Linked DNA regions of Arabidopsis thaliana. The protein of the gene in region 4 purifies or fractionates together with the protein of the main gene of each other region. This does not show direct contact. Each region holds a gene or a part of one and is shown on either strand. Other genes may lie near its edges. The genes, in order: AT1G62020, PAF2, PBB2 and RPT1A.

What was found.
Region 1: the proteins of RPT1A (region 4) and AT1G62020 fractionate together in Arabidopsis thaliana (co-fractionation; one large-scale study listed by BioGRID). This does not show direct contact.
Region 2: the proteins of RPT1A (region 4) and PAF2 fractionate together in Arabidopsis thaliana (co-fractionation; one large-scale study listed by BioGRID). This does not show direct contact.
Region 3: the proteins of RPT1A (region 4) and PBB2 fractionate together in Arabidopsis thaliana (co-fractionation; one large-scale study listed by BioGRID). This does not show direct contact.

The regions. Positions count from the first base shown.
Region 1 is NC_003070.9:22,915,904-22,925,366, forward strand, and holds AT1G62020 (Coatomer, alpha subunit), read left to right. Parts: upstream 1-3,583; 5' UTR 3,584-3,758; intron 3,759-3,887; 5' UTR 3,888-3,910; coding exon 3,911-4,118; intron 4,119-4,222; coding exon 4,223-4,717; intron 4,718-4,877; coding exon 4,878-7,825; 3' UTR 7,826-8,121; downstream 8,122-9,463. Other genes in the region: AT1G62010 (Mitochondrial transcription termination factor family protein), read left to right, coding at 1-1,230; AT1G62030 (Cysteine/Histidine-rich C1 domain family protein), read right to left, coding at 8,406-9,463. UniProt on the Arabidopsis thaliana protein: The coatomer is a cytosolic protein complex that binds to dilysine motifs and reversibly associates with Golgi non-clathrin-coated vesicles, which further mediate biosynthetic protein transport from the ER, via the Golgi up to the trans Golgi network.
Region 2 is NC_003070.9:17,316,195-17,323,163, reverse strand, and holds PAF2 (20S proteasome alpha subunit F2), read right to left. Parts: upstream 4,046-6,969; 5' UTR 3,945-4,045; coding exon 3,594-3,944; exon of another isoform or gene 2,747-3,593; coding exon 2,264-2,746; 3' UTR 1,962-2,263; downstream 1-1,961. Other genes in the region: GAMMA CA2 (gamma carbonic anhydrase 2), read left to right, coding at 80-223, 484-609, 712-863, 1,481-1,780.
Region 3 is NC_003076.8:16,246,380-16,253,816, forward strand, and holds PBB2 (20S proteasome beta subunit PBB2), read right to left. Parts: upstream 4,547-7,437; 5' UTR 4,424-4,546; exon of another isoform or gene 4,181-4,423; intron 4,089-4,180; 5' UTR 4,073-4,088; coding exon 3,929-4,072; intron 3,501-3,928; coding exon 3,359-3,500; intron 3,234-3,358; coding exon 3,137-3,233; intron 3,056-3,136; coding exon 2,986-3,055; intron 2,887-2,985; coding exon 2,782-2,886; intron 2,699-2,781; coding exon 2,600-2,698; intron 2,424-2,599; coding exon 2,336-2,423; intron 2,212-2,335; coding exon 2,132-2,211; 3' UTR 1,907-2,131; downstream 1-1,906. Other genes in the region: DEG13 (protease Do-like protein), read left to right, coding at 1-140; AT5G40570 (Surfeit locus protein 2 (SURF2)), read left to right, coding at 419-642, 1,107-1,127, 1,209-1,306, 1,415-1,582, 1,662-1,704, 1,791-1,872; AT5G40590 (Cysteine/Histidine-rich C1 domain family protein), read right to left, coding at 5,230-5,934; AT5G40595 (uncharacterized protein), read left to right, coding at 7,131-7,397. UniProt on the Arabidopsis thaliana protein: The proteasome is a multicatalytic proteinase complex which is characterized by its ability to cleave peptides with Arg, Phe, Tyr, Leu, and Glu adjacent to the leaving group at neutral or slightly basic pH.
Region 4 is NC_003070.9:20,063,808-20,071,802, forward strand, and holds RPT1A (regulatory particle triple-A 1A), read right to left. Parts: upstream 4,694-7,995; 5' UTR 4,518-4,693; coding exon 4,431-4,517; intron 4,087-4,430; coding exon 4,005-4,086; intron 3,916-4,004; coding exon 3,824-3,915; intron 3,732-3,823; coding exon 3,654-3,731; intron 3,562-3,653; coding exon 3,500-3,561; intron 3,373-3,499; coding exon 3,228-3,372; intron 3,131-3,227; coding exon 2,912-3,130; intron 2,816-2,911; coding exon 2,634-2,815; intron 2,537-2,633; coding exon 2,361-2,536; intron 2,272-2,360; coding exon 2,114-2,271; 3' UTR 1,669-2,113; downstream 1-1,668. Other genes in the region: SRF6 (STRUBBELIG-receptor family 6), read left to right, coding at 1-26, 118-404, 492-763, 849-981, 1,062-1,195, 1,285-1,444, 1,522-1,668; AT1G53760 (K+-H+ exchange-like protein), read right to left, coding at 5,352-5,492, 5,579-5,707, 5,788-5,859, 5,961-6,030, 6,148-6,195, 6,333-6,431, 6,536-6,600, 6,917-7,111; AT1G53770 (O-fucosyltransferase family protein), read right to left, coding at 7,653-7,829, 7,912-7,995. UniProt on the Arabidopsis thaliana protein: The 26S proteasome is involved in the ATP-dependent degradation of ubiquitinated proteins. The regulatory (or ATPase) complex confers ATP dependency and substrate specificity to the 26S complex.

The DNA.
Region 1 (9,463 bases), 2.9 Mb from region 4:
GGTGCTGCTAGAAGGTTCGTGGGGTTGCATTTGAGAGTTTCAGTGAACCTTTTGCAAAATGAATCTTTCTCTTCGTATTCGTTCTCTTCTGCTAGTGCTGCTGATGTGAGCCCTAAAGGGGAGACCTTTAAATCCTCGTCCTTCCTTGATTCACTGCGTTTAGCTACAAAACTCACTGACAAGGGAAATTCTGATTCCGTTCTGGATCTTCTCAGAAGTTATGGGTTCACTGATTCTCAGATCTCCAGCATCATCAGGAGTGATTCAAGAGTGCTTATAGACAATGATGCGACATCCCTTGGTTCAAAGCTTCAGTTTTTGCAGTCCAGAGGAGCTTCAAGCTCTGAGCTCACTGAGGTTGTTTCCACAGTTCCTAAAATCTTGGGGAAGAGAGAGGGCAAATCTCTCAGCAGATATTATGATTTCATCAAAGTCATTATAGAAGCTGATAAGAGTTCCAAGTATGAAAAGATATCTCATTCTTTGGCACAGGGTAACAAGATCAGAAATATCTTGGTTTTGAGAGAACTAGGCGTGCCTCAAAAGCGGTTACTGCTTTTGCTCATCTCCAAATCGCAGCCTGTTTGTGGAAAAGAAAAGTTTGATGCATCACTCAAGAAGGTAGTTGAGATGGGTTTTGATCCAACCACCTCAACGTTTGTGCACGCTTTGCATATGCTTTACCAAATGAGCGACAAAACGATTGAAGAAAAAATCCGAGTCTATAGAAGTGTAGGTTTCTCTGTTGATGATGTATGGGCAATGTTCAAGAAGTGGCCACGCTCTTTGACACATTCGGAGAAGAAGGTAGCCAACTCTATAGAAACATTTCTAGGTCTAGGATTCAGCAGAGATGTGTTTATGATGATGTTCAAGCGGTTTCCTCCGTGTATTGGATATTCTACAGAGGCGGTGAAGAAGAAGACTGAGTTTTTGGTCAAGGAGATGAATTGGCCAGTAAAGGCTGTGGCTTCAATCCCTCAGGTACTTGGATACAGCCTAGAGAAGAGGACTGTCCCAAGGTGTAATGTTATCAAAGTTCTCATGTCAAAAGGATTGCTTGAAAGTGAACTCCCTCCAATGTCTTCTGTTTTGACAAGTACTAGTGAGTCGTTTTTAAATTTGTATGTTAGCAAACATGATGACAAGCAGCTTGTGGCTGAGCTGATGGCAATCTTCACCGGAAATCGTGTTTCACTCACCGATCAGAAGGCACGCCTAGAACAATGAGCAACGTTAAGGATTGTTTTTTGTTTTCTGTTAGGTTTAGATTCATTAGTGAGTCTTGTTGCTTGACTTTTGGAAGTAGATAATAGATTTTGTGTATGAGTGTCTAAGCCTTTGACCCTGAAGGATGATGAATCAGTCTTGTATGAAAAAAATCTTTACAATTATCTTTCTTTGTCTTGTTGATATGAATTATGGTTAAGATCTTTGTGATGTGCTTTGTTCTGTTTTGGAAATTAAACAGAGCATATGATATATTTCATTTTACTAGTTTCGTGGCAGAAATCTTTCCTGTTTCGCAGGATTTGGTAGACAACTCTGAGGAGTAAGATCCACTCGCAAACGATGGAACGGTTTATTCAAATTCCTAGTTTGCTTTTTCTACTTGAGTCCTTAAGTTTGTATTAGAGTCTTCAGTATACTTCATACCTTCTTGTTCAACCCAATTCCAACTCTTCAGTCTCTGCTACATCTTCAAACTCCATCAAGCCTCAAACTAATAATCTTTCAAGTGAGATTATAAATCTTCAAGCTTCTTGGATTGGATATATCAATAGACTATAAAAGCTAGTAGAAAAGAGTAGAAAAGCTAGTTGAGGATTTATAATAAGGTAAATAAGTAGAAAAGACTTTTATAGTCTATTGATATATCCAATCCATTTACTTGATCCATCTCTGTATGCAATCTGACTGACAAATTGTAATTGTTAAACTCTTTTTTACTAGCTTTTTTTAACTCTTCAACATTAAAAGTCTAGAAACAGAAGACAACTATTTACTACATGATATTTTTGGTTATTTGTTAACAAGAAGCACTGTGGTAAAGCAGCCGAGGATGAATAATTTTAGTGTTTGTTTGATGAGTGTTAATCTTCATGGAATCCATAACCACAAAGATTTGGTTGATCCATCTATATAAAGCAAATAGGTGTAGTTAATCAATTCAAGGTCTTTTAGTGTTATCCCTTGCCAAGGAGGGCAACACTAGAGTCTAGAGTTTCGTTTTCCACTTGAGTCCTTCTGTTGGAGACAGTGTCTTCATTACACTTCCTAACCGATTCCAAAGCTTCAAATTTCATCAAACCTGCAACATAATGATGACTTCACAATGGTGTCGAGTGAGCTCCATTAAAACATGTATAGGCCTAGGATTCAGCATAATGATGATCAAGCGCTATCTTGAGTGCATTGTAATTTGATGAAAGAAGTTGACTTGACCAGTGGCAACTAGAGGCTGGAGAAGAGGATTGTCCCAAGTTATAACCTAATCAAAGCTGGTACGTCTCGAAGCATGATGATAAGCTGGTATTGGAGATTACTGTTTTTGCTCCAAGGAATGTCATATCAAGAAACTGTGCATTGTTCTTGTACCTCGCTAGCATCTTCCTTTGTTGGTTACATGGTTTGCTATTCCAACCAAGCTCTGGTACTATAAGGCAAAAGGAAAGGAGAAGGAGACCATTAACTAGTCTATATTACAACAATACATTATATGTTTCGTGGATATCTCTTTTTCTTATCTTCTCTGCTGTTTTCCTTTCTTTTGTAAAGATTGTTCTTTGAACATGAATCAATACACTTTAGAATCTATTAAGATAGCAAATAAGTTGATGCAAAGAGCAAGTGTGAGATGGATAATTGAACGGGAGTGAATGAACCTGTCACTAGATCTCTAATGGTTGTTGTTACCTCCTGGCTCCTCCTCAGCTGCCTAAACTGCGTTTAGCTCGGCCGCCTATCACTTTTTTTTTGTGTGTAGGTTTGATTGGTCTCTCTCATTCAGAATCATATGATCAATTTGTTTTCAAGTTTTGCAATGTTTTTGAAAACATTACATTTACGCTAATTGGATTTTTAAACTCGATAACCGTGATTACAAATAGAGACGTAATATTTTTTAGATTATTTCTCATGTTTTTTTGTGATTTGTTCATCTTATGCATAATTTATTTTTCACTTATGTTCAACAATAGTATACAAAAATTTAGAAATGCTCATCATATATAAAATCACTTTTGACGTTCTGAGGCTCCAATCTATTAAAAATAAACGATATAGATGATAATATATACGTCTTTTAATCAAGTGAATGAATATTTAGTTTTTTTTTTTTTAATAGGCTTCACTTTGTTTCTTACTCAGTTTAATTTTTATTTGGTTTTTATAAAATTACAACTTAGTTTTAATCAAAGGTTCTAAATTAAATTTGACCAAAAACATAAAAAAATAATTACGTAAGAGCTTTTTTGGCAGAAAATAATTTAGAGTAATTATTTATTCCTTCGACGTTAAAAAAGAATAGGAAAAAATATGTTTAAATTGCATCATTCGACCAATAAGATTAGAACTCATCCTTTTTTTTTTTAAGGATATATAGAATTCATCACTGAATACATGTTTTTATCCCAAATTAACGCAAAAGAGAGAACTCGAGATCTGGGCATAGCGACTCACTCAGATCTATACACCTTCTTCTTCTTCTTCTTCTTCCTCTTCCTCTTCGCTTCGTTCGTAAACTCATCTGATCTGTGGTAACCACCATTGTTCCTCTCCTTACGATTTCGAATTTCTGTTTTGATCTCACTACCATTGTTGCAATTTAGATCTATTTCTAATTGTTCGTGATTCGCTTTTTTTTTTCTGTGATCTGGTTTTTGTAGAGTGCCATTATCGTTGAGAGATTATGTTGACAAAGTTCGAAACCAAAAGTAACAGAGTTAAGGGACTGAGTTTTCACCCTAAACGACCATGGATTCTCGCGAGTTTGCACAGTGGCGTGATCCAGCTCTGGGATTATCGTATGGGTACTTTGATCGATAGATTCGACGAACACGAAGGACCTGTTCGTGGTGTTCATTTCCACAATTCTCAGCCTCTCTTCGTCTCCGGAGGTATATATAATTCGGAATCATTGTTAGTGAAATCGTATAAGCTCAAAAGAATGGATCTATACATGATTTGTTGCATTACAATGATGTTGATCTTGATATTGCAGGGGATGATTACAAGATTAAAGTGTGGAACTACAAAAACCACAGGTGCCTTTTCACTCTTCTAGGGCATCTTGATTATATCCGCACGGTTCAGTTCCATCATGAGTACCCATGGATTGTGAGTGCAAGTGATGATCAAACTATCCGTATATGGAACTGGCAATCACGGACTTGTGTTTCTGTATTGACTGGTCACAATCATTATGTTATGTGTGCTTCTTTCCATCCGAAAGAAGACCTCGTCGTATCAGCTTCGTTAGATCAGACTGTTCGTGTTTGGGATATTGGTGCTCTTAGGAAGAAGACTGTATCTCCTGCTGATGATATCATGAGGTTGACTCAGATGAATAGTGATCTTTTTGGTGGAGTTGATGCCATTGTCAAGTACGTTCTTGAAGGTCATGATAGAGGTGTAAACTGGGCTGCTTTTCATCCCACCCTGCCTCTTATTGTCTCGGGTGCAGATGACCGCCAAGTAAAGCTGTGGCGTATGAATGGTAATTATTTGGTGGTATACTTTTGTGCTTACAATTTTTATATGCTATCAATCGTCAATGATGTTACTGATATGAAAATATTCTGCATGCCTTAATCCTTAGATGAATCTCGAAATTGCAAAGACGAGTTGGTAACATGTTTTTAACGATATCATTGCAGAAACTAAAGCTTGGGAGGTGGATACATTGCGAGGCCATATGAATAACGTTTCATCTGTTATGTTCCATGCAAAACAGGACATAATTGTATCAAACTCTGAAGATAAGAGCATCCGTGTCTGGGATGCTACCAAGCGAACTGGACTTCAGACTTTCCGTCGTGAACATGATAGATTCTGGATTCTTGCAGTTCACCCTGAGATGAATCTACTAGCAGCAGGACATGACAGTGGCATGATTGTGTTCAAGCTTGAGAGAGAACGTCCTGCATTTGCTTTGAGTGGGGATTCTTTGTTCTATGCCAAGGATAGATTCTTGCGGTACTATGAATATTCAACTCAAAGGGATTCCCAAGTTATCCCTATACGGCGTCCGGGTACTCCAAGCTTGAATCAAAGTCCTAGGACTCTATCATACAGTCCCACTGAAAATGCAGTTTTGATCTGCTCAGATCTGGATGGTGGTTCGTATGAGTTGTACATCATACCGAAAGATAGTGTTGGCAGGAGTGACGTTGTGCAAGATGCAAAGAGAGGGACAGGTGGCTCTGCAGTATTCATTGCCCGTAACCGATTTGCTGTTCTCGAGAAAAGCACCAGCCAAGTGCTAGTCAAGAATCTAAAGAATGAGGTGGTTAAAAAGAGTCCTCTGCCTATTCCCACAGATGCTATCTTTTATGCTGGGACTGGGAATTTGCTTTGTAGATCTGAGGATAAAGTAGTTATCTTTGACCTCCAGCAAAGGCTTGTTCTTGGTGAGCTTCAGACACCATTTGTTAGGTACGTTGTTTGGTCCAGTGATATGGAGAGTGTTGCTTTGCTCAGCAAACATACTATCATTATCGCGAGCAAAAAACTTGTTCTCCAGTGCACGCTTCATGAGACGATACGTGTGAAAAGTGGAGCTTGGGACGATAATGGTGTCTTCATTTACACAACTTTGAATCATATCAAGTACTGTCTTCCTAATGGAGATAGTGGAATCATCCGAACCCTGGATGTCCCAATCTATATCACCAAGGTGTCTGGTAATACAATCTTTTGCTTGGATCGGGATGGCAAAAACAAGGCTATCACCATTAATGCAACCGAGTACATTTTCAAGCTTTCACTGCTGAGGAAGAGATATGATCATGTCATGAGCATGATAAAGAACTCTCAGCTATGTGGACAGGCTATGATTGCTTACCTGCAGCAGAAAGGATTCCCTGAAGTTGCCCTCCATTTTGTTGAAGATGAGAGGATCCGATTCAATCTGGCTCTTGAAAGTGGCAACATCAGTGTGGCTGTTGCATCCGCTACACAGATTAACGAGAAAGACCACTGGTATAGACTTGGAGTGGAGGCTCTTCGCCAAGGTAATTCTGGAATTGTTGAGTTTGCATACCAGCAGACAAAGAACTTTGAGAGGTTATCTTTTCTTTATCTCATTACTGGAAATTTGGACAAGCTTTCAAAGTTGATGAAGATTGCAGAAGTGAAGAACAACGTAATGGGACAGTTTCACAATGCTCTCTACCTAGGAGATGTTAAAGAGCGTGTTAAGATACTGGAGAATGCTGGTCATTTGCCTCTAGCTTATATCACAGCTTCGGTTCATGGTTTAAATGACATTGCTGAGCGACTGGCAACTGAGTTAGGAGACAACGTGCCCTCATTGCCTGAAGGAAAAACTCCATCGCTTCTAATGCCACCGACACCCATCATGTGTGGTGGTGATTGGCCTCTTCTTAGAGTGATGAAAGGAATATTTGAAGGAGGACTTGAGAGTGCAGACAGAGGAGGTACTGTTGATGAAGAAGATGTTGAAGGGGATTGGGGTGAGGAACTTGACATTAATGTTGATGGAATGGAGAACAGAGATATTGAAGACATTTTGGCGGCTGCAGAAGCAGGTGAAGAAGAAAACGATGAGGAAGGTGGATGGGGACTTGAAGACTTGGTGCTCCCACCAGAGCTTGACACTCCTAAAGCCTCTGCTAATGCACGTTCATCTGTTTTTGTGACACCTCCCCAAGGTATGCCCGTAAGTCAGAGCTGGAGCCAGAAATCTTCTCTTGCTGCTGAGCAAGCCGCAGCGGGAAGCTTCGACACTGCAATGCGTCTGCTCCACAGACAGCTTGGTATCAAGAACTTTACACCTTTGAAATCGATGTTTCTAGATCTGTTCAATGGCAGCCATAGCTATCTGCGTGCTTTTTCTTCATGTCCTGTGGTTCCACTTGCCATTGAGCGTGGATGGAGCGAGTCTTCCAGTCCCAACGTCCGTAGCCCACCAGCTCTTGTTTATGATTTCTCTCAGCTAGACGAGAAGCTCAAATCCGGCTACAAAGCTACAACAACTGGGAAATTCACTGAGGCTCTCCGTCTCTTCCTTTCTATCCTGCACACCATCCCTCTAGTGGTAGTCGAGACAAGAAGAGAAGTGGATGAGGTCAAGGAATTAATCGTTATCGTTAAAGAATATGTCCTTGGTCTTCAAATGGAGCTCAAGAGGAGAGAGATGAAAGATGATCCGGTGAGGCAGCAAGAGCTCGCTGCTTACTTCACTCACTGCAACCTCCAAACACCTCACTTACGGCTTGCGCTGCTTAGTGCAATGGGTGTCTGCTACAAGGCAAAGAACCTCGCCACTGCTTCTAATTTCGCCAGAAGACTGTTGGAAACAAGCCCAGTTGATAGCCAAGCCAAGATGGCTAGACAAGTTGTGCAAGCCGCTGAACGTAACATGACCGATGAAACAAAGCTTAACTACGACTTCAGGAACCCTTTTGTGGTATGTGGTTCCACATATGTCCCGATCTACAGAGGACAGAAAGACGTCTCATGTCCTTACTGCACCGCCCGGTTTGTACCAAACCAGGAAGGAAACATCTGCACGGTCTGTGATCTAGCAGTGATTGGCGCAGACGCATCTGGTTTGTTATGCTCTCCATCTCAAGTCCGGTGATCAATTTCAGATTTCATAATCAATACAGAGATGCTCTATTAACAGAATAAGAGTGTTGAACTTTTGGTGTTTTTGTGATTGTGTACTTACCAATCAGGTTTGAGGATTTTTCTCGTTGCAGGTTTTTATTACTCTTTTAAAAGTTGTTTCTTATCTTTTAGTACACATGAGAACTTTAGCTTCTTGCTTTATAATTTCTCTTTTTGATGCATAGTAGCACTGGATAACTTGTAATTTCAATTTCGGAAATTATGGTTTACTTGTGAAATTATGATTTTATAAATTCTCCAAATTTTTGAATTTTGTGAGTGTCGTTCCTAATTACAAATTTATCTACAACGAAATGTACCGATAAAGTCCAATGTATTTTTTTAATTGAACCGATAGTAAACCAAATTGTTTAGTCAACTAACTGTAGTTCTAGGGAAAGATAACACTGTAACATGTTGATTGCTAAATAGTTTTTTCTCCTTGCATGTTTTATCAATCGAGCTTTTATAAAAAGATTGATCCGACAGAACCCGACGCAACTAAACCGATAGTAACACAAAAACAGAGACACATCAGAGAACACTAATCTCTACGTCAGTGCTGAGAACTCATAATTTCCGTAGCCTCTCCGTTGTAGATATTCGCGATGACCAGCTGTGTTCACCTTTGTAGACAAAAAATAACCAACACAAGATGTGGAACAAAATTTTGAACCAGACGACTCCAAAACTATTTTGTGTGGACAACGCTTCTTGCAATGAGAGCAAATAGGTCGAGTCATATGATGATCGTTGGCCCGAACATATATCTTCTCTCCATTGAAGGAGAAGCTTATCCAAGATGAACCAGGCTTCACGTATAAATCCTGCCCAAGCAGACATTCAATGTGTAGGGTGACGCAACAGTACTCACCACACGTATAAAACCGCTCCTTTGGGTCTATCTCTTGCTCGCAAATATCACACCAATAAGTCGTGATGCATGTCTCCTCGCCATAAGAAAGAGTGAGCATATGTTTATCATGCTCATACCTTACCTCTTGAGGTAAAGTGGCGCATCCAAAACACAAAGCAAAGTAGTCACACTCAATGCAATTGAATGTTTCGTTTGTTGAAAACTGTTCTAACTTTTTGCAAACGGAACATCTTCTTTGCTCTTCTGGTTTCGATGTTAGGAATAAAGAATGTTCATGACTTTTATGGACTAATGGCTCAGACATTGTGGCGCACTGCACATGTAGCTTGAAAAGATATTCATCTTTATCCTGTTGTTCACACTCATAGAAGAAACCGGCTTTGCACTTCCAAGGACAAGCTGAACATGGATCAACACTATGTTCCACAAGACCCCGAGATCCTACTTTGAGAGTGAGCATATGTGGATGTATCGGATGATGCATTTTGCGAGAGAGATTTGCACATTTTTCGTGGAGAATATAATCACATTGCATACATGAATAGAAGTTACCGGAATAGATTGGCATGATGCATGCTTGACACAACTTATTCACGTCGTAATCTCTACCCGTGTTCTCATCAAGTCTCAAATGATGATGTTGATGACTAAAATGCTCGATGATTCGATCACTTATCCTCACAAACGGCGGTTCAACTTTTTCATCTTCTTCTAGTATTCCCTCAAGTTCTT
Region 2 (6,969 bases), 2.7 Mb from region 4:
TGTGTCTTCACCTTTGATTGGAGAAATTTGTGGCTTAGATTGAAAAAATTTGATTCGAGAAATTTGTGTTTGTTTTCAGTGTCGAGGCATCGGACGTTGATGAATGTGTTTGATAAATCACCATTGGTGGATAAAGATGTGTTTGTGGCTCCGAGTGCTTCTGTTATTGGTGATGTTCAGATCGGAAAAGGCTCGTCGATTTGGTATGGCTGTGTTCTTCGAGGTGAGGCTTTATTACTTCTAGAAAGTCTTAATGGCCTTTGGTTCGATAGAAGTACCAAATTTTGCAGCAGTATATTGTGCAAAGTAGTCATAGTTTAGTTTTAGGAAATGAAGTTCTCTTTACCTTCTAATAATCTTGTATCGCTGTTATACGTTACTGTCCTGATCATTGGACATAGATTTATTGTACTGTCGATAAAATGTGTCATGAAGTAGCTGTGAAACTTATTGTATGTTAATCTGGGTTTCTAACTTGTGCAGGTGATGTGAATAACATCAGTGTTGGATCTGGGACGAATATCCAAGATAATACGCTTGTACATGTTGCAAAGACCAACATAAGTGGCAAGGTTCTACCTACTCTGATTGGGGACAATGTAACAGTAGGTAAACCTTAAAAAGCGATTTATCAGTTTTGAAGTATCTGTTTTTATGTTGTGTTACACGATTGTTAGTTAAAGGTTTTGTTTGTAAAATGAAACGGAGCAGGTCACAGTGCTGTCATTCATGGGTGTACTGTTGAGGATGATGCTTTTGTTGGTATGGGAGCAACACTACTTGATGGTGTGGTGGTTGAGAAACATGCCATGGTTGCTGCTGGTTCTCTTGTGAAACAGAACACGCGAATCCCTTCTGGAGAGGTTTCTTTCTTTCCACTTTATCTTTTCTGGTTTACTGCTTACGGAGTTTGTGATAAGACTGGAACTGGAAACTGCTTTATTTCTCACTAAACTGAACGAGAAAATCCAAAGTATCAAGAACCAAAAATAGAACTCTAGCTAGGTTTACTTATCACGGACCCTGAAGCTCTACCAAGCCTAATAACGAACTGCTAATTAACCAAGTAATAGCAGCTGTAGTCTGCTGCATTTAGTCCTACGCTGACCTGTAGCTAAGGCTTGACCAGCTGAACTTCTTCAAGTAGATCCACTTTTGCTTTGCTTACAATTTAGTTGATACAGAATTAGTTAATGAAATGATATGCCTGTAAATTGTATTATATTTTGATCAAAAAGAAGAGTAAATAGTATTTATATATCGTCTAAATCTGAGAACCACCTTTGTTTCCGTTGCAATTCTACTTGTATATGAAACAAGGGTGAGTTGGGAGTAACAGAGGGTTCTTGTGTTTCCAATGTTTTATGAGGAATTAGACGGATTTCTTATATCGCTATGCTTTTGAACTACTTTCTTCAACCGTCAACCTGAGAATATATTTACAAGGACATATCTATAAGTTATCAGTTTCATGTGGCAGGTGTGGGGAGGAAATCCAGCAAAGTTCATGAGAAAGTTAACAGATGAAGAGATAGTATACATCTCACAGTCAGCAAAGAATTACATCAATCTCGCACAGATTCACGCCTCAGAGAATTCAAAGTCATTTGAGCAGATCGAGGTTGAGAGAGCGCTTAGGAAGAAGTATGCACGCAAGGACGAGGATTACGATTCAATGCTTGGGATTACCCGTGAAACTCCACCGGAGTTGATTCTTCCCGACAATGTCTTACCAGGTGGTAAACCCGTCGCCAAGGTTCCGTCTACTCAGTACTTCTAATTCCAATCTCAGGTTGTTTTTGTGTGTTGAAATCATTTCAAGACAGGATTGATTCTCTGGAAGGTCAAGAGAGATATTATTTTGGTTTTAACTTTTCTTCCGAGCAAGCAGGAGATTTATCATCCTTGCTCAATAATGTATGGTTGCATTATGAAGTCATTTCTTCGAGGAACAATTTGCAGAAAGAGAAACAAAGTTGGATTAATCTTTCATTCTTTCTCTCGCTGTTTCTCTCATTCAAAATGGTGTCTGTTTGATACACTCTCTAGGTTGGCGATTCGCCGATTATTATTATCATGTGACAGATTTGACTTAAGTAGGACTAAACATAAGCTAGTGGCACTCAATAACTCCTTGTTCCAAGCTGTTAAATAAACAAAGCCGAATAAAAACCACAATTGTACTTGGAAGTTGGAACATATCAAAGAGCTACACACAAGAAAATTGGTTAGAAAATCCAACTTTGAACTCATTCCCTCTTGCTCAAATTTCCATTGGTGCAACATCTTGATCACCTGAACCACCTTGTTCACCAGTTCCAGCAGCACCAGGAGCAGCTTCGGGTTCGGCCTCACCCTCACCAGCATCTTCCTCTTCCTCAGGAACCTTCTCAAACGTATCAATCACCTTTTGAATGCTTTCCTGGTCCAAGAAATGGAATGGTTCATCGACTCCTAGAACAGAAACAGTGCAGAGCGAGCTCTTCAGTGTTTCCCCTTGCAAAGTTTCCCTTATGGCCATAATAGCATCTTTTATCAGATCTTCTTTTGATGATTCTTGGAAGCTCTCGAATTTGCGCTCCAGATAGGTTTTCGCAGCTTGTGAACGAGACCCGATAGCGAATGCTTGATATTCAAAGTAGTTTCCGCTAGGGCAGTTGTAGTAGAGGTGAGCTCCTGACTCGTCCAATCCACCTACCAGCAAACCCACACCATAAGGCCGTTTCCATGATCGTTGGGTACATACCTGCTCAAAGATAATTTATGAAGATGTTTAATACAAGACAAACAAATGACTTAACATTTGAATGAAATCAGAGTGTTGTTCAAACTACAAGACTGATATCAATACGTTCTCAGAAATCAATTGAAAATGTAGATACAGCAGCTAACTTAATTTTTGACAGACATGAAAGTAAGTGGGACGTAGCAATCAAACCTTTTAAAAATTGTGAACACATCATCTAACTTGAGAACACTACGTTTAACACCAAAAGTAGTGAACATGTAGCACAAATTTCTATCACAACTGTAAACCAACATCTTACTGAAAATATACTTCATTAGGCAAGTAAATAAAGTGGCCAGGACATACTACAACTACAAGTAAGTAAACAAATGCAAAGTAATACAAGTCAAAACCACAAAACCAAAAAGAGATCAACAAAGACGTATATTTATTCTAGAATTGCAAGCAAAAACAACTCTATCAAGCAAAGAGAACAGACGATGACAACACAGAAACAACCAAACGACCAAAATCATCACATTCTTATACACTTCTATCGTCAAAGTGGGTATACAGGTTAACTCTTTCTAATCGGATTAAGCAACTAGCAACAGAACTGGATATGATTAACAACACAAGAATCTCTAATTCCCAATCACTAAGACTTGATCACAAACCAATATCACTACTTGCATAACAACACACACATTCTACAAATAAAATTGGCCACATTGCTAATAAAAACCTAAACTTTACTCCAATTACATAAAGCTTCAAACTTTCAGATACTCACACATCATAAAACTAAACCCTTTAGCAAATTCTAGGTCAAAATTCAAAAGTTAACCCAAAAATCTCAATTTACCTGAGCTTTATCAGCAAGATGAACAACAAGACGACCAACAGGAAGAGGAGACTCATAAGTAAAAGAGTGATTAATAGACTCAGATCTCATATATCGAGAGAGAACACGACCATCAGCAGTGAGACCAGCAATAGCAACACCAATATGATCATCGACTTTAAAGATCTTCCTTTGATGAGAAGAGAGCTCTGATTGTGCTTTGTTGACACAAGCGAGGACGACATGAGAGCGAGATCTGAGTCCTATTGCTGCGGAGCCTTGTTTCACAGCTTCCATGGCGTATTCGACTTGGAATAGTCGACCTGTGGGACTCCATGTTGTCACATCTGTGTCGTACTGGTTCCTGAACATCTTTCTTCTTCTTGTTCCTCTGTTCTTCAAAAGCTTTTCGTTTGCTTCAAGCTAGAGGAGGATGGTCTCTCTTATAGAGCTTAGAAGAAGAAAGTAAAGATTGTCAAAAAAAAGAGAAAGAAGACAGTAGAGTAAAATGGGCTTATGAAACTTAATGGGCTGGGTTTAATTATCCATTACTCTTTATTATTTTTTACACATTTAAAAGGATTATAATTTTATAAATAAATACTTAGCATTATATTATTTCTTTTTATAGTAATTAATTTAATTCATAATTTAACATTTGCAGTTTCAATTGGTTTTACATTATTTATTTACACATTTTTCACTACACTGATTATAAATTTACTATTCCCTCTGATCCTAAAACAATGATATTTTGGATTTTTCACAAATTAAAAAAAATAACTTTTATATTATTTTTATTGTTTTTTCTTACTGCAAACTATGTTTTAATCTATGAATGTAGATCATTACAGAGAAGGTTTTTGAACCAAATTGGCTCGTTCCTAAAGTCTGCTTTGAACACAGAAATCGTAAAAATTGGGGAAGCAAAATAGTCCGCTTAAAACACAAAAATCGTAAAATTAGGAAAACTAAATGGTGAGCTATACTATTACAAAGACGTTTTGTGAAAGTAAATACAATAGATGAAAATCTGAAGACCAATACTCTAAATCTAGAAGTAAATTAGCAATTTTACTTCTATTAGACTTGCCATTGATGGTTTTAATGAGGACTTCGCAATCTCTTTGGAATTGTACTTTCTTGTATTTTTGTATCCAAATTTGTTGCATCGCCACAAGTAACGCTTTCGTCTCAGCCTTTAGGAGAGTGTTGACATGATCTAAAATTGAAGATCCTCATGTGTTTGCTATCCCTTCATGGTCTCGTATAATCCATCCACCCGTACTTTAAGTACTATTCCTGTGTAAGTCCGCATCGAAATTGCACTTGACAAAAGAAACTGTCGGTTTTCTCCATGAAGTATTTTCCGATGATGGTGCTCTTGTTGTAGTAGTTTTTTCTTGCCTCCCTCTCGTGTTTATAATTCATTTATTATTTTTTTAATTAATTTAATAATATCAGTTCTACTTTTTTTCCTTTCTCTATTGATCACTAATGAAAATAATATTAATTTAAAACATCAACTTTTGTGAAACAAAAGTAAAATTTAAAACATCAAACTTCATGGACTAGAGGGAATTACAAGTTATTGTATTTTATTATTTCTAATTTTATGAAAATTAATAATTTAGCATGTGTAGTTTAAATTGGTTTGGAATAAAATTAATTTAGAAATCTAAACAAATAAAGTCACATGTTATTAGATTTTTAATTTGATATTTTGTTTTTGATAAAATCTTGTATTATTTGGTTGGAAACAAAGAGTATTAAAATTGTGTCAATTAGCTAACTAGCCAAATTCGACATACAAATTAGCAAAATAGTCATACGTCAGAAAACTTTAGTAAATAGTTTTTTCTTGGGGTGTAAAATAACCAAAATAACCTGGAAAAATAGACGGGAACTCGTGAGTTCCGACACTAGGTGTCTATATGTAGGGAACATAAACATGCGTAGGTAATGAGTAACCCGTTTTATTTATAAAACACACGCCATTTATATATGTTTTTGTTCCTGATGAGCCACATAACTTATAGATTTCAATTACCAATGAGAACATAAACATGCGTAGATAATGAGTAACCTGCTTTATTTATTAAACACACGATATATATAGATGTATTTGTTCATTTTTTTCTTAATTCTATAAACCACATACCTTTTAGATTTTACAGATGCATTTGATATTTAAACACTAACTTATATCACTAAATATGTCAAAAACGGACCATATATATATACAGATGTTTGCTTTGTATGCGACTAGTTATTCAATGGAGACTAACAGATAAAAAGGTCAATGGTAACTGTAACATAGAATGTTATTTAAAAACAACACATGTAATTCCTATATGCATACGCTGTATGAAAACAATGGGCGTGAGTTGGAAATTGTGTATTGGGCAATAAACTCGGCAAAGTATCAACTTATAGAGATCATACATTACATGCAATGTTTCGTTATATCAGTAATCATTAGTATGCAACTTGCTACATAATATGGTCGCCAAATCTTATTTGCGATTTGACAATGTAAATCTATCCGTAGGAAAATATTTGATACGTATCTATTGCATTAAATGCGGCGACAGTGTTATATACGAGTTCCAATGTTGCATTGGGGGAAGGGGTGAAACAAATTCCAAAAACAACGTGTTTCGTATAAATATAACATAGGATAACCACTAAGCATCCACCAGATAAACGACACGTCGCGCATGACGTCTGCGATAATGTTAAAACACATGAATTATTGTGGTTATGCATGTAATTCAAATACAATTCAGTTATATGTTTGATGCGACATTTACAGAAGCGACAGATTCCATCGATTAGCAGCCCTTCGAGAGTTTGGAGGGAAATCATAATTATTCAATATTATGTGGCTTAAAAGCTTGTAAGCACTGTTGCGGAAAATGTCTTAATATATTGTAGCCCTACTTCGTAGCAAAAGATTCCACATATAACAGGAGAGATGAGTAGCATTTAAAACACACGATAATGAGTAACCCGCTTTATTTATAAAACACACGCCATCTATATATGGCGTTGTTCTGGATGAGCCACATAACTTATAGATTTCAATTACTAATGAGAACGTAAACATGCGTAGGTAATGAGTAATCCGCTTTATTTATAAAACACACGATATATATATATATATATATATATATATATATATATATATGTATTTGTTCCTTCTTTTTTTTTTAATTCTATAAACCACATACTTTCAATTACAGATGCATTTGATATTTAAACCCTAACTTATATCACTAGATATGCCAAAAACGGACCATATATATAGAGATGTTTACTTTGTATGCGACTAGTTATTTAATGAAGACTAACAGATAAAAAGGTCATTGGTAACTGTAAAATAGAACGTTATTTA
Region 3 (7,437 bases), on a different chromosome or scaffold from region 4:
GTCGAGTAATAATCTTGGATTATCAGTTTGCGAAAAGTTCCACTTCTTTGATTTTGGAACGTCATAGAGTACCATGGGCCATGTCCAAAGATCTCATGACTGATCAATCGACCACTTGTTCGAGTACGAGATTATATTAATAGTATAAATTGAATTTAAGGTTCCCTAAACATTTGACCAAAAAAAAAAAAAAAGGTTCCCTAAACATTTACCGCTTCGGTTTAGAACCAGAAAATTTGTAATGTGTTACTAATCAGACCTAAAATGTCTATTGGTTGCGTTCGGTTAAATTTATTCGGTAAAGCTATCGTTTACACCAAAACAAAATTATTGAATACAATTCGGTTCGGTTCAATTTTGTTGTCCACGAATAATAGAGAGAGTCTATGCTTCCTTAAGCTTAAGTGAATCGGTGACGATGATGAAGGAGAAGGCGAAAGAAGGGAAGAGTCTGTTTGGGTCTCCGACGTTCGTTGATCTTGGAAACGGACGGCTCAGATGCGTCGAGACTGGTCACGAGGTTTTAGCGGGAGACGTAGAATCATACGCTCGTAACAAACGGTGTCGTTTAGGACTCATCAATCACGCTTTGTCTCTAGGAAAGCCTCCTCTCAACATGTTCTCGCAATGCCCACTTTCTCGGTTAGTCAAATAAGTTTCTCAAATTTTTGTGTGTTTCTGGGAAAATCAGATTTTTTTAGTTGGGGGTTAGGTTTATAAGAGTGTAAGATTGAATCATCCACAAATTCTACTAATCTCACGATTCAAGCTTTAATTTTGGAGGGTTATGATGTTTCTCTCTGTTTTGATTATTTTGTGAAACTTCGATTGTTTTCTGAGCAAGAAAGGATGAAACTTTCACTGTTTTGAGAGCTAAAAGTTGTGACTTTGGATTTCTCTAGAGTTTCAGATTGTATTAGCTCAAGTTTCGTTTAGATCCTTGCTTCATAGTTTCTGCTACTAGTAAAAAGCTGGTTAATTTTGTTTTTTCTTTAGACCACTGAGGAGCATTGGTTGTTAATTTCAGTCAGTGTGGAATACATTGAAAATGGTTATAAAAGTTATAATCTTTCTTCTGATTTTGAGCCTTTTGGCTTTGTTCGCAGCATCGAAAATGGTTTAAAGTTGTAAGCTTTCTTCTGGTTTTGCCAGTATTGAAAATGGTTACAAGTTATAAGCTTTCTCCCTGCTTTTGGCTATGTTCTCAGCTCGAAACTTGTGTGCAAGCTAACTGGAGATACTGTGAACAAGAACGAGGAACATATCTGGAAACACGTGAATGGGAAAAGATTTCTTCACAAATTAGGTCTATAAAAATTGTTTCTCCCATGATATCAGATTCATTGAAATCGTGTAATGAATCTTAGTTAGTATGTCTTGGCTTATAATGTTTTGATGTTGATAAATTTGATAGAGCAAGTGGAAAGAGGAGCTGGATCAAGCGGAAGGACTGAGGAAACACAAGTAAACAATCCAAGACACAATAAGGAAGATTCTGGTTCTGAGGAATCCGACTTTTGGATGCCTAAGTCAAGTTCTGATTCAGAGTTAGATGAAGAGACTGATGAAGAAAACTGTAAAGGTTGCTCTCTTTTGTTTTTTGGTTCTACTGTCATCTCATATCGAAACTTTAATTAGATTTGCATCTGATTTGGGTACAGGTTCTCATTGTGATGACAAAGAATCTGAAGAGCTCTCAGAAAGGTACATTACTATATTTGCTCTTCTCTTTTTTTACAATCATCCTTTTGATTGTGTCTCATAATAACTCAATTTGGTCTCTTCTACAGAACAAAGAGAATGTCACTAGAGATTGGACCAAGTAGCTTTGCTTCTAGGAAGAAAAAGAGTAAGAATGATGAGTTGTCTTAAGATGTTGTGGACAAAAAAAGAAAGAGCACAATTTTGTTTGTAAGAAAGAGCTCTTTTGAAAATTATGTGAGAGCTAAATTTCAAAACCGAATCATCCATAATCATTAATCACAAGTTCAAGCCAAATTTAAAGACGAAATGGAGGCAACTACGATTCGATTTTAGTCGTTCATATTGAACAAAGTAGAAAATGTAAACATGACTGTCATGTGAGGTAGAACAATGGTTTCACTCTTAGTATCTGTCTCTCACACGAGATTCATTCCTCCATAGCTTCACCAGCCACTTCTACAATTTCGACTCGCTCCAATAATGGTGTAATTTTGGTGAGTAGAACCTCTGTTTTCACAGAGAAACAAAAACAGTAAGAAGAAGAGGAAGATCGAATTAAACCAAGTTTAACACTTCAATAATCATGACTGATACCAGAGACGAGTAAGTGTTGCAACAAGTAGATTCTTACCGGTTTTCTTGGTGAATGAATAGCCTTTGCTGCTAACATAGGTTCTTGGGTTTGGTTCCATGTAATTCCTCAAGTATTCCTTGTGCCCCTGTCCCAAAATCATCTCAAACAATCAGTTTCAAATCGAAGATATAGGTAATCCAGAGTACTGGTTTTGTAGCGAATCACTTTGGTTTAGCTTAATATCTGTCAGTCATGAAGCAAACGAATTTCTAGATACTTCAGTTATCTATTAAAAGCAGAGGAAGATGGAGTATGACAAACCTTAGTGATCACACAGATATCCACATTGCTACCACTACCAAGGTCGTTGAATATACCAGAGCATATGGCTTCAGCAACCAACTTGATTCCTTCATCTCTCTGGAAGATTTGAGTCAATCATCAAACAAACAGCCAAGAAGAGATCTAAACAACATAAAGATAAATGTCTCTGCTTTACTTACAGTTAGACCTTCTTTATACTTTGCTTCAAACACTGACATGGCAGCAAGGGAACCAGAACCCATTGTAGCAAATGGTAGAGTGTCAGTAGAACCGTGTGGGTATATCTGCATTTTGACCAGAACATTAGAGATGGAATACAAAATGAAAGAACCTGAAAAAGGCTTTCTACAGCTGAGAATTTTGATCAGGAATTTGAAACTCACCGTGTGAAGATGAGGCCCGGTAATATCAACTCCACCAAGCACAAGAGCAGCTGAGACATGGCCTTGGTAGCTGAATGATACTTGAGAAGTTAAATTATGTATGCCTATTAGTAAAGATAACAATTTTCTGAGCATGGTGAAGCAAAAATACCTGAAAAGATGTTTTTTGAGAAGGGTCAATGCAGTAACGACTCGAGAATCTCGGCCAGTCTGGTATCTATGCAACCGCAGCTGTGAGCTGACCATATCTGAACAGTGAAATAGCAATCAAAATAACTTAAGCATTGGGTTTTGATCGAGTTAACAGAAGTTCCGAGAAATTCAACTTTGATCTAGGGTAGCAGTAAAGAAATTTGGAAGTTAAGAAAATTACCAGTTACTGCTTCAGTGTCAGCAGCGGTTCCTGCACCACAACAGTAAATGTTTGGTGCCATGTAGTGAATCTTCTCACAGTTCTTATCAGCCACAATAGGCCCTTCAGTTGCCCGTGTATCAGCCCCAAGTATTACACCATCCTATACAAAACAGATAAATGAAATCAGTAATCATCTAAAAGAGAATGTCACATCATAATCACATGTTTCATAAAATGTTGTAGAATATAGAGGTAAATAGACCATAAAAACATCAACGTGATGTCATATGGTCAAGGGTTGAGAAAGCAACAACACCTCAGACTTTCATGTTATCTTATCTAAAGCTATCAGGTGCCCAATTCACTGATAAGCAGCCATCCACAAACACAAGTTCAATCACATTTGCATCTTAGCCCACAATTCTTAAATCTTAGGTCACTATGTTCACTTCCATAGTTCCATAACTTGCAAACAACCAAAATAGAGCACTCACTATCCAACAATAACACTATGCTAACCATTCAAAAGCTATAAAAGAAAACCCAAAACCCATTACATTGTAGAGAATGTGAGATAGAAACAAAGACCTTAAATATCAATCCAACGATAGTCGTTCCAGTCTTGAGAAACGACGGCGCTTTAAGACCCTTCTGTGTCAGCATATCATTCCTTTTGCACAGATCGAAGCTAAACCCACCTTTTGGCGGTATATCGACGGAAGACTGCGACATTTTCCGATTCACCACTCTACAAAATGAGGAAAAATCAAATCATCACCCAAACAAAAAAAAACGAGTAACGAAGTGAAATTTGAATCTTGAGAAGCAAAATTCGAGAACCAAAGCTAGCTAGCTGATGATACGAAACCAGAAGAACAGAGTGTAGAAACTAATAATCACATACTAACAACAGATTTTTTGAAAACTCCTGAAATAAAATCAACTCAAAAAGTTGGGATCGAGATCGCTCAAGGATAGGTAAAATCGTGTTCGAATCACCAAAATCGAGAAGATAGAATCCAGGGAGACGACAGTATGAAGAATAAAAGTGAAAAATCTAAGCTTATAGAAGAGTGATGTTACCTTTACTTGAAGGTTTTGCTGAGAGGAAGGAAGCTCGAATCGGAGAAGAAGAAGAAAGCAAGCAACTTTAGCAGAGAGTTTTCTTCTTCCTCAATTAAACTATTTTTGAGGCTCTATTATAAATGGGCCTATCTTTACTTTAATGGGCTTAACTTCTGTCAAAATGAGCCCATTTGTTAACTCCCTAATGATTATGTGACTTCTAATTGTGTGTGTGTTTTTCTTGACATCATCACTTCTAATTGTGTGTTTGCATTTGCAAGGTCTGGATTTGTTTGTTTTTTATTCAGTTTTGAGATCAATTTGATTTTACGAACAAATAACATTGACAGAAATATAAAATAAAATGTAATTAATACTATATTGATAATATAGATATAATTAAATCTTAAACTTTAGATTTTATTTTACCATCCGTTATTAACACATCGATAACACTAACACAAACTACTTTAAATAACCCCAAATCTCACAATTTCAATACTTTATTCCCAATATTTTTAATCTATAAGTAGGGGTGATCCAATACTTATATATTTTTCCTATAGTAATATAAAATGGATTATGGAACTTGAAACATAGTATGCAAAGGTAACATGGTTACAAAAACGAAAGCAGCAATAATCGTTCAAAAAAAAAAACTGATAATTCTTTTATTTCAGATAACAATTTCAAAGAAAAAAACAACAACAACAACAACATGAAAAGTTTGCAGGAGCAACAACAACATAAATCAAGAAAAAGCAACAAAAAGAAGAAAAACAGACACAAGTAAAGAGAATTTGAAGAATCCCAACTTCTTCGAATTAGATGCAATTGAGAGCTGCCTTATTCGCCTTTTTCGAAATCAAAGCACTTTGCATCGCCAAATGCATCTCAATCTGCATCCTCTCCACTTCTCTTTGAGCCTCTAACATTGCAGCTAACTCCGAATTCATCGAGTTTTTACTTCCTTCTCCTTTTTGATCTTCTTTCTTTGCCTCTTCCTCTTTCTTACATGAGTGTAAATGCGTAGCGTAATCACATTCCTTGCAATAATACGACCAGAGATTATCCGGTACAATGTCTTCACAAACATCGCATTTGGAAACTAAACCGGGTTGGTTATAAGGAGAACCGTAAAGAAGAGTAAGTGGATGTGGGTGATCTTCACGCTTCACTGTTTCAGGCATTGAAACACATCCGACATGTACATCGTACTGACAGATTGAACAGTTGTACGTGAAACTTGATCCGTATTCGCCGCAAGCATTACACGTGTACGTTGACTTTGGGGAATAGATTAAAGTCAAAGTGTGGGGTTGGTGAGATTTGTGGTTGGTTTCACGTGGAAGTTCAAAACATGACTTGTGCAAGAAGTAATCACAATCTGATGACTTTGTGCATTTGAAAGCTGCACCAACCAGATCGAGATCACAACCGGAGCAGATGATTTCGTCTTTGGCTTCGCATTTGTGACCGCGCAATGGATGGTTGTGACTCGGGTGCCTCACCGATTGTCGTGAAGACATTGTTTTATTCAATGTTCTTGATTTAGTATTGAGAGGCGTTTTGTTTGTGTTTGTGTTTGTGATTGTAATTAGCTTAGGATTTCAATCTATTTATAGCGTTAATGGAGAAGACTTAGTGATATTGAGTCTTGGTTTTGAATTTGACTATCAAACCAAGTTGTAGTTTATAGTGATTAACTATATAATTGGGAGAACAATGTCACGCTTTAAGTTATATATATATATAATATATTATATATTAAGTATATAACAAAATGGTTCATTTGGGATTCGAAGTCAAGAAATGCATTTCAAAGTCAAGAGATGCATTATGCATGGAATTAGTTTGCGATCTTGTTCACGCATCTGAGTTTTTTTTAAATGTTATAACTATAATTAGCTAATTAACCTGTTGAAATTCAAGATAAATCAAAATAAATATTGTTCTATCATTAGCAAGTTGGGGATAAATACATTAACGTTGACATAGTGACGGATGTAAAAGTCAAACTAATCACAATGCTTTGACTCTAATTAATTAAGGCTGATATCCACCGTCTACTCCTTCGTTTCGTTTCGTTTCGTTTCGTTTCATACAATAATGTTTTTTGGAATGCATACATACTATATTGTAAAATGATTGAATTACACTTTTTTATAAGAAATGATAAAAAATGATAAAAGAATTGGTGGAGATACAAAAATAAGAGATGCTCGAAATAATAATAGAATTGTGAAAACAAAAACAACAACGCATTAAAATAATATGATTGTTTTATTAAAATCATAAATATATATATATATAAAAAAACAAAATATAAATTAACATATTTTAGTTAGTTTATATCTTTGTAATCGATTCGATTATGTTACGCTCACAATCACAAGTTTGAAAATCTTCGTGTGGGATGAATCATAATGGATCCTGTAATAGAAATGTCATAATAAACAGATTACGGAATCCTTGATTATTGATATGGTTTCCTTAGTCAAAAAAATTAGAATCACTGGGGAACAGTAATGGAATTCAATCATGCAAAAATAACTTGTCAATTTATGTTAATATTATGTAAGAGATCCTCATGATTCGAATTGTGATTCATTCATGTAGCAGTTTCACCGATGATCTTATGTGTTATAAATTAGATTAATATTCAGACAAGGTCACACTCACACATTGACATTACATACGATCAAACTCGGTTTCTTACGGTACCATGTCGCGGTTTGGAGAAAACAATGGCAAGGGCATTAAGCCCCTGCCAAGAACAATTCGAGTTCGCATGTTTGACAACTCGGAATTAATCAGAAGGTTAAAGAGGACGACACTTATCGGAAAGATTATGAATCCTGACGTTCAGAGTGTTGGATCACTAGTTTTGATGATGCCTAGAATCTGGAAACTAGAGGGTCAAGTGGTTGGGAGGGACTTGGGATTGGGAACGTTCAGGTTAGATTTCGAGAGAGAGGAAGATATTCTTGAGGTGATGAAAACGGAGACTTTCAATTATAATCATTGGATGC
Region 4 (7,995 bases):
CACTCTTGCTTCAAACGACTTTCACGGTATGCACACATATACATTACATTTTGCCTTTGGAACATAATTTAAGATTTAAACAAAGAAAAATCAACTTAAGACTCCATATGGTTGCAGAAAACAATTCCATTCAGAGTTCTTCATCAGTTGAGACAAAGAAACTGGACACTTCATTGTCTATTAATCTTCGACCTCCACCAATTGATAGAAACAAATCATTTGATGATGAAGATTCGACAAGAAAGCCTATTGCTGTCAAGAAATCCACAGTGGTGGTTCCTTCAAATGTGAGACTCTATTCAGTTGCAGATCTCCAAATTGCTACTGGCAGTTTCAGCGTAGATAATCTTCTTGGAGAAGGGACTTTTGGACGAGTATACAGAGCTGAGTTTGATGATGGAAAGGTAAGATATTATAATATTGTTATGTAATCCTAATCTCTATGTCTCGAATGATGTCATAATGTTGTTGGAAAACGTCTTATCTTTTAGGTTCTTGCTGTGAAGAAAATTGATTCGTCTGCTCTCCCACATGGCATGACCGATGATTTCATTGAAATGGTATCGAAAATAGCCAATTTGGATCATCCAAATGTGACCAAGCTTGTTGGTTACTGTGCTGAGCACGGACAACATCTCGTGGTCTATGAATTCCACAAAAATGGATCATTACATGACTTCTTACACTTATCAGAAGAGGAAAGTAAAGCATTGGTGTGGAATTCACGAGTCAAGATCGCTCTTGGGACTGCACGCGCATTGGAGTAAATTCCATAAACAATTCATTGCTTAGCTCACTATTAAAAAAGAAACGAGTATTTTGGTTAACTGAAAGTATTGTTCTTGCAGGTATCTGCATGAAGTTTGCTCACCGTCTATAGTGGACAAGAATATCAAATCAGCTAATATTTTACTCGATTCAGAGCTGAATCCTCACTTATCAGATTCTGGTCTCGCAAGCTTCCTTCCCACAGCTAATGAGGTTGGATATACAAACGTTTCTCAAAACTCTTTACCATTTCTCAACTTATTTGGTTGCTTAGATCATTCTGATATGTGCAGTTATTAAACCAAACCGATGAAGGGTATAGCGCACCTGAAGTATCAATGTCAGGCCAATATTCTTTGAAGAGTGACATTTACAGTTTTGGAGTAGTGATGCTTGAACTTTTAACTGGGAGAAAACCATTTGACAGGTAAACTCTATTATGATCCAAACTAGGCTTGATGTATGTAGTTGAGAAATGTGTTTCTGTTTGAATCTTACAACTGGTTATAATTTGAGCAGCACAAGGTCAAGATCTGAGCAGTCACTGGTTCGATGGGCGACACCACAACTTCACGACATTGATGCTTTAGCCAAAATGGTTGATCCAGCTCTTAAAGGGCTTTATCCTGTCAAATCCCTTTCTCGATTTGCAGATGTTATCGCTCTCTGTGTCCAGGTAAACTAATGGTCACAAATCGAGTCTTGCAAATTCAAGAAAGTCTTTTACTGATTTTGGGTCTTGTTTCTTAACAGCCGGAGCCGGAGTTTAGACCACCAATGTCTGAAGTTGTGCAGGCTCTAGTTGTGTTAGTGCAGAGAGCTAACATGAGCAAGAGAACTGTCGGAGTTGATCCATCGCAACGTGCTGGTAGTGCCGACACGACCAGTGATTACATGTAAATGCCTCTACCAAGAGAAAAGACAAACACTTTGCTCCGTCGGATGTTAATCATAGACAATTGGAAGATAGAAAAAAGCAACCTCATACATTGTATAATCCCATTGTTTTATTGTAATTGTATGTTCCAAAGGTGTAGCTTCTAGATCCTTTACATGAACAAAATTCTTTCTTGTAATCTTCTACATTGGTTCTATTTGGGCTTGGTTCAATTCTTGATCATCAACTTGTTATCAATTTCAAAAGACGTGAATTCACAAAAAAAAAAAAACTTAACAAAGAATTTATGAATCCAAAAGTAGTAGACATTGAAGAAGATAAACCCGAGTTACTGGAATAAGTTGTGAAACAAGTACTACAAAAGAGCTTGAAGGGAAGAGACACAAACAAAGAACAAAGAGTGTTTCGGAGTTTTATTTCGGAGTTCTTCTATCTGTCTCAATCTCTCTAATTGTAGACCATATACTTGGGAGTGGCACTGAACTTTTGGTAACCTTTAATGACTTTGTTCACTGCGTCTAGAAAGTCTTTCTCAGTCACAGTCTTTCTCCTAGCTCTGATTGCGTACATTCCTGCTTCAGTGCATACACTTCGAATATCAGCTCCTGCAAAAAGACAAGATTTACAAAACCCAAAGTCAGAACAAATTCCAAAAGACAGAAAAGCTGTTTCATGGTCAAGGGATCATCAATACCCGTTGAGTTTGGGCAGAGGCGAGCAAGGAGTTCGAAACGGATGTCTCTTTCGCAGTTCATGGTTCTTGTGTGAATCTTGAAGATCTGTGTTCTGCTCTCCAGGTCAGGTAGACCAAACTCAACCTTACGGTCAAGACGTCCAGGACGTAAAAGAGCTGGGTCTAGTGTGTCAGGCCTGGATTGAAGAGTTAATACAGAAACACCAATGAGTCAAGCAGTATTATTGGGTTTTGTAGTTTACTTGAAGATGGTAAGAGGGAATCGTAACTGACCTGTTTGTTGCCATAAGAACCTTGATGTTACCACGTGCGTCAAACCCATCAAGCTGATTCACAATCTCAAGCATAGTACGTTGGACTTCGTTATCACCACCAACACCATCATCAAATCTTGCACCACCAATGGCATCAACTTCGTCAAAGAACACAATGCAGGCTTTCTTGGACCGTGCCATCTGAAAAGAGAGTATTATTATACAATTCAGAACAAAATATAGCAGCATTGGCTTGACAAACTCAAGTAGCAAAAAGGAGTGTTCACAATCAATTACCTGAAACAGTTCACGAACCATCCTAGCTCCTTCACCAACATACTTCTGAACAAGCTCACTTCCAATAACCCTGATAAAGCAAGCATCGGTTCTGTTGGCCACAGCTCTAGCCAGAAGAGTTTTACCAGTACCAGGAGGTCCGTAGCAGAGAACACCCTTGGGAGGATCTATTCCAAGCTTCACAAATTTCTCTGGATGAAGCATTGGCAGTTCAACAACCTGCATCAGCAAAGACAACAAAACATCTTACATCACACTAACTTAAGTAAGACATTGTAAGATAAGGAGAGGGGATATCAACAAAATTTCAACATACCTCTCGCATCTTCTCAATCTGCTCCTTGCATCCACCAACATCATTGTAAGTTACATCAGGTTTCTCTTCGACAGTCATCATGGTCACGCTAGGATCGATTTTGGGAGGTAGAGGAATCTGAATCTGATATTTATTCCGATCAACTCTGCAAGTATAAATCAGAGACAGAAAGTTCTCATAAATTTGTATCCATATGAAAAATTTACAACGACAAAAGGAATTGAACTGAAGCAAACAAAACATAGAAAGATACAGTGAGGAACAGGACATACCCAACACGCATGCCTTCCTCAATATCAGTGGGAGAAACTTTATCGCCAAGTCCAACAACAAACTGGAATTAAGAACCACAACTAATCAGTATAACCAAACATCAAATGGTTCGAAAACACATAATTGGTTATGCAGCTAAGGGATTTAATGTACCTTAGCAATTTGTTTGACATTTATGACGTATTTGGCGTCTTCAGTGTTTGGACTTATAATCTTTGTGCATCTCGCAACCTGGATAGAGAAAACGTCAACCCTTTAATCTCTTATAGTTACCATGAAATAAAAGACGATTCAGAGAATTATCAAAGAAAGAATATGCTTACCTGCAGAGGTTGCTCTTCTTGCATCATTTGCTTATCAGATACAAGATCCCATTGACTGGGAGGAGCTAAACCAGTATCAGACTCCTTGATACCTGAACCATAAAAGCAACCAATAACCCTTTTAGTCACTAGCTAATCGAAGTAAACCCAAACAATTGAGCAACAAAGAGTGTGCACATACCACATAGATCGTTGATCTTCTTGGCGAGATCCTTAATTTCTTTCTCCACTTTCTTGATAGGTGCAGAGTAAGGCCCTAACCCCTGCAGAGAATGAGATTTAACAAGGTCAGCAACACAACATATGGAGAGATAACAGATACAACAAAGCATGACTATGAATATTTCCACTTGGAATAAATTCAAACAGTGAGGCAGATTCACTCATATAAGTAGTAATTAGCAAAAAAAACTGAACCAAGTAGAAAAATCAAGCTCATCAAGAACATATCTAGCTCAGGAGGAAACATCAAATTGGTTTGCAAAGAGACGAAACCCTCACATTCGAGTAACTAAAATCTAGTGTAGATCCGAATTCTCCGATGAATCAGAAGAGTAAAAATCGAAAACCCCAATAAAACTTAGGGTTCTAAAAGGGGAAGGCTTACATAAGTCTTGAGGAGAGCGATATCATCTTCATCAAGAGGACGAGGATTCTTCTCGTCTCTAATCTCATCTTCAATATCTCTCACCATTGTCGCCGGATTTCCAAATCGGAGATTTGAGATTCCTAAAGTTGAGAGAAAATGGATTACGATTTATGTGTCTTGCTGAAGAGGAAAACAAGTTCTTTTTTCTTTTCTTTTTTCTCGAAAGGGTAAAGAAGTTCTAATTTGCGTTTAGTCTCGTGGTGACGTGATATAAGCTAAGAACCACACGTGCCGCTCCCACGTGTAAAATGGGCTTTTTAAGCGAGGCCCATATTTTCTGTCTTGTTGGAGAGGTCAGATCAAAATAATCCCACGTGCCAGTCAAACTAGGTTGAGCGAAAAAAACCGCAACCAAATCAACCAAAACTGAACCGAATTTGTTTGTTAACCATTTTTTTTCTTTCTTCTTCTTCTTCTAAATTCGGATAACTAAAACGAAATTGAAACATATACCCCTACCAAAACGGAATTTGCATCAAACTTAACTGAATTACAAATGGTTTTATATAGTTTCAATTATTAGATAAAAAAATTTAACTAAACCGAAACTAATCCATAAACCGGATTGCCTACAACCCTCACACGTGTAAATTGAGCTGTTAATTTCGGCCCATATTCGAGTTTTTTTTTGTTTTTGTATCATTTCTTTTTTTCCTTTTTCTGTGACTCTTGTTTTTTCCAATAGTTCTGAGAAAACTTATTTTTATGTTTAGAGTAACCTTGTACTCGTTCAAAATTCTCAACTGTTTCCAAGTAACAAAGAAGTTTTTAAAGCAACAAGGAATCAAAAGACAAAAAAAAAAAAGAATTGGAGCGTAAGTTATAGCTTCAAACAGCTAAAATTATGTTCTAAAAAAGAAGCCTAAAATGCCAAAAGAGTTAGACTAGATTGCGATATTTAAGAACATCGTTCTTATTGAGATCAAAGGATTTGCAAATCTCTATTATGGTCGCCTCGTCGAGTCCTTCCTCGCTAGCTTCACGAATTAGCTGATATAACTCTTCCGATGGAAGCAAAATCTGTTTATGAGTAAACAAAGACAATTAAGAACCAAAAAAAAAAACTTTTGATTTGAGTATCTTTGATGACAAATAGATCAGCTTACACAAGTGGGAGATTGAGATTTTTGTTCCGGCTTGGTGTTGCTGTTCTTGCTTTCATCTGCATCATCAGTTGAGTCTGGTTTATCAGGATTTGCCTCGTTTGAGATGAGCTTAAGCAGCTTCTCACTTCCCTGAAGTGTCAATAAAGATGATTTCGGGTTTATATAAACCTCTAGATAATGGAAGTATGTATCGAGAAGTTATGACAGACCTGAAGAGCCCGCCAGTGAGAATATGTGCGGAATAAGACCCAGAAGAATGGTATGTTTGGTAATGGCAATACCTAATTGGAAAGAACAAAAGGGTTTGGTGGTTATGAGATTCGATGAAAATAAACGAGTTAGTTGCTAAGGTTCTTGAGGGCTAGCTTCATACTATACATACCATAAATGCACTGGTCAATGGAAGCAAAGTAACTGAACCAACTAGGTACTTCTTGTGCAGGATTGTTCCACTGCAAATCCAATTAGAAAACATAAGTGTTAGAAGGAACAGGGATTCTGAATCTATTACACGTGAAATCGGATATAAAGTTTCATCATTTGAGACAACGGGTAGCAAAGTGATTTACCTCATGGCAATGTGCCGTAGTCTCCTGCGTACGAGTCTAGGATCTAAACTGAAAACATTTGACATGGATTAGCTAAAACGATAACCAATCCAAATTCACCAGAATATATACTCATGAAGACATTCATAAGAGAGATACTTATCCTCAAGTTTACAGAATTTCAAGAAAAGGAGAGTAAATAGAACCTCGGAGGATAAGTGACTTGTACAGAAGTGACCTCCTTAGATATAGACTTCAAGAAAATCTCAGAAGGCTTAACACGAGCCAGAAGCTTCAATCCAAACCTATACATTCCAACCACAACTTGACATTAATAAGCCTATCAACAAACAAAGACCAAAGCCTCAAGAAATGTCTCAAAATACAAAAAGGTAGAGATTTTACAAACCCATGAATCTTGTTCTTTATTGATCCATCAGGCGCTTTCTCAAGACCCACCCAAGCTTTATTCATCTAACCATTACAACAACAACAACAACATTTCTTCAAACTTAGTATTGGAGAAATCAAGGAGGAAGACTGATTAAAAAAAGCCATTCTTTTATCTCATTTCTAGTGGTCCTAAATGAGGTTCGTTGTCAAAAACCTTTAATCAGAAACAGAACCAAAAGCTTATTCATTGGTCGAAATGTTATACACCCAATAAATCTCACTAGACGCCACATAAACACACGGGTATGAATTCTATAAAGAGAAAAAAGTTTCAGACGCCACATAGAGACACGGGTATGAATTCTATAGAGAGAACAAAATTTCAATGTAATTTTACCTTGTCAGAGATGAAATCGACGAGAAGCTCTGCGTTGGCATTGATGGGTTTCGATTCAGATGATATCTTCTTCCATAAACCTCGTACAGTGGTCGGAGTAACACCAGACGGTGATTGAGCAGCGAAAGGGTCAACAGATCTGCTGAAACACCATTTCTTCCCTTTGATCGGAAAAACCACCAATCTCGCTCTCATGATCACTTAACTACGAAAAAGCTCCGATCTTTAGTTATGAAATGTCAATTTGTCATCTGGGTATTGCTTTAAACGACGTGGGTTTCGTATATTCAAAGGAAAAATCGAAACTTTAAGGTAACGAGACCGACAAAGCCTAAAATATTTCACGAGGAAAGACGAAAAGAAGCGGCGGCGCGTCTCTTGGCATATATGGACAAGTTTTTATATATAAGGGTCTTTGAAATCGACTTAAAATTTTGGTATAACAAAGGTTGTCTCTTTAAAAGGCAGTAATGACAAATGGTGTACTATTTGCAATCATGTCAAATGGTTAATGACAGATTAGAAGGCAGTAATAACAAATGGTTAGTACTATTTGCTATAACTGAAGCAATGATAAACTGACACATCACTAATCTCAGATTATATTAGAAGAAACTGTAGCATGGCTTTTACTGTATGATATACACTAGTAAACTATGCACATAAAGAAGAAGACAATTAGGCTGTTTTGTGATGAGAACTCACAAGACAGAGACTAATTTACGTGTTAATCTTTTTATTCATGATCTGCTATAAAATTAGGCTGCTCGTTTGCGCAGAGATACTCATCGCATTCTGAAGCGGTTCCCCAATCTTTTCTGAGTCTTAAGATATCCTCTGTAAAAGTTGAGCCCGAGGCACCAATGAACACGCTTGACAATGCGCATATCGTCTTATCCAACATTGCTTCCACCTTTAAAATAAGATAATGCCATGTATCATTTTGTTGGCATATGTATCAATTCATTCAATACGAAGGAGGAAAGAAAACACACCTGTGAGTCGCCCTCGAGACCATGTCTGTATAACAATGCATCCCATTTCTCAGCTGAATCACGAGCTGGTCGTTTCACAAGGGG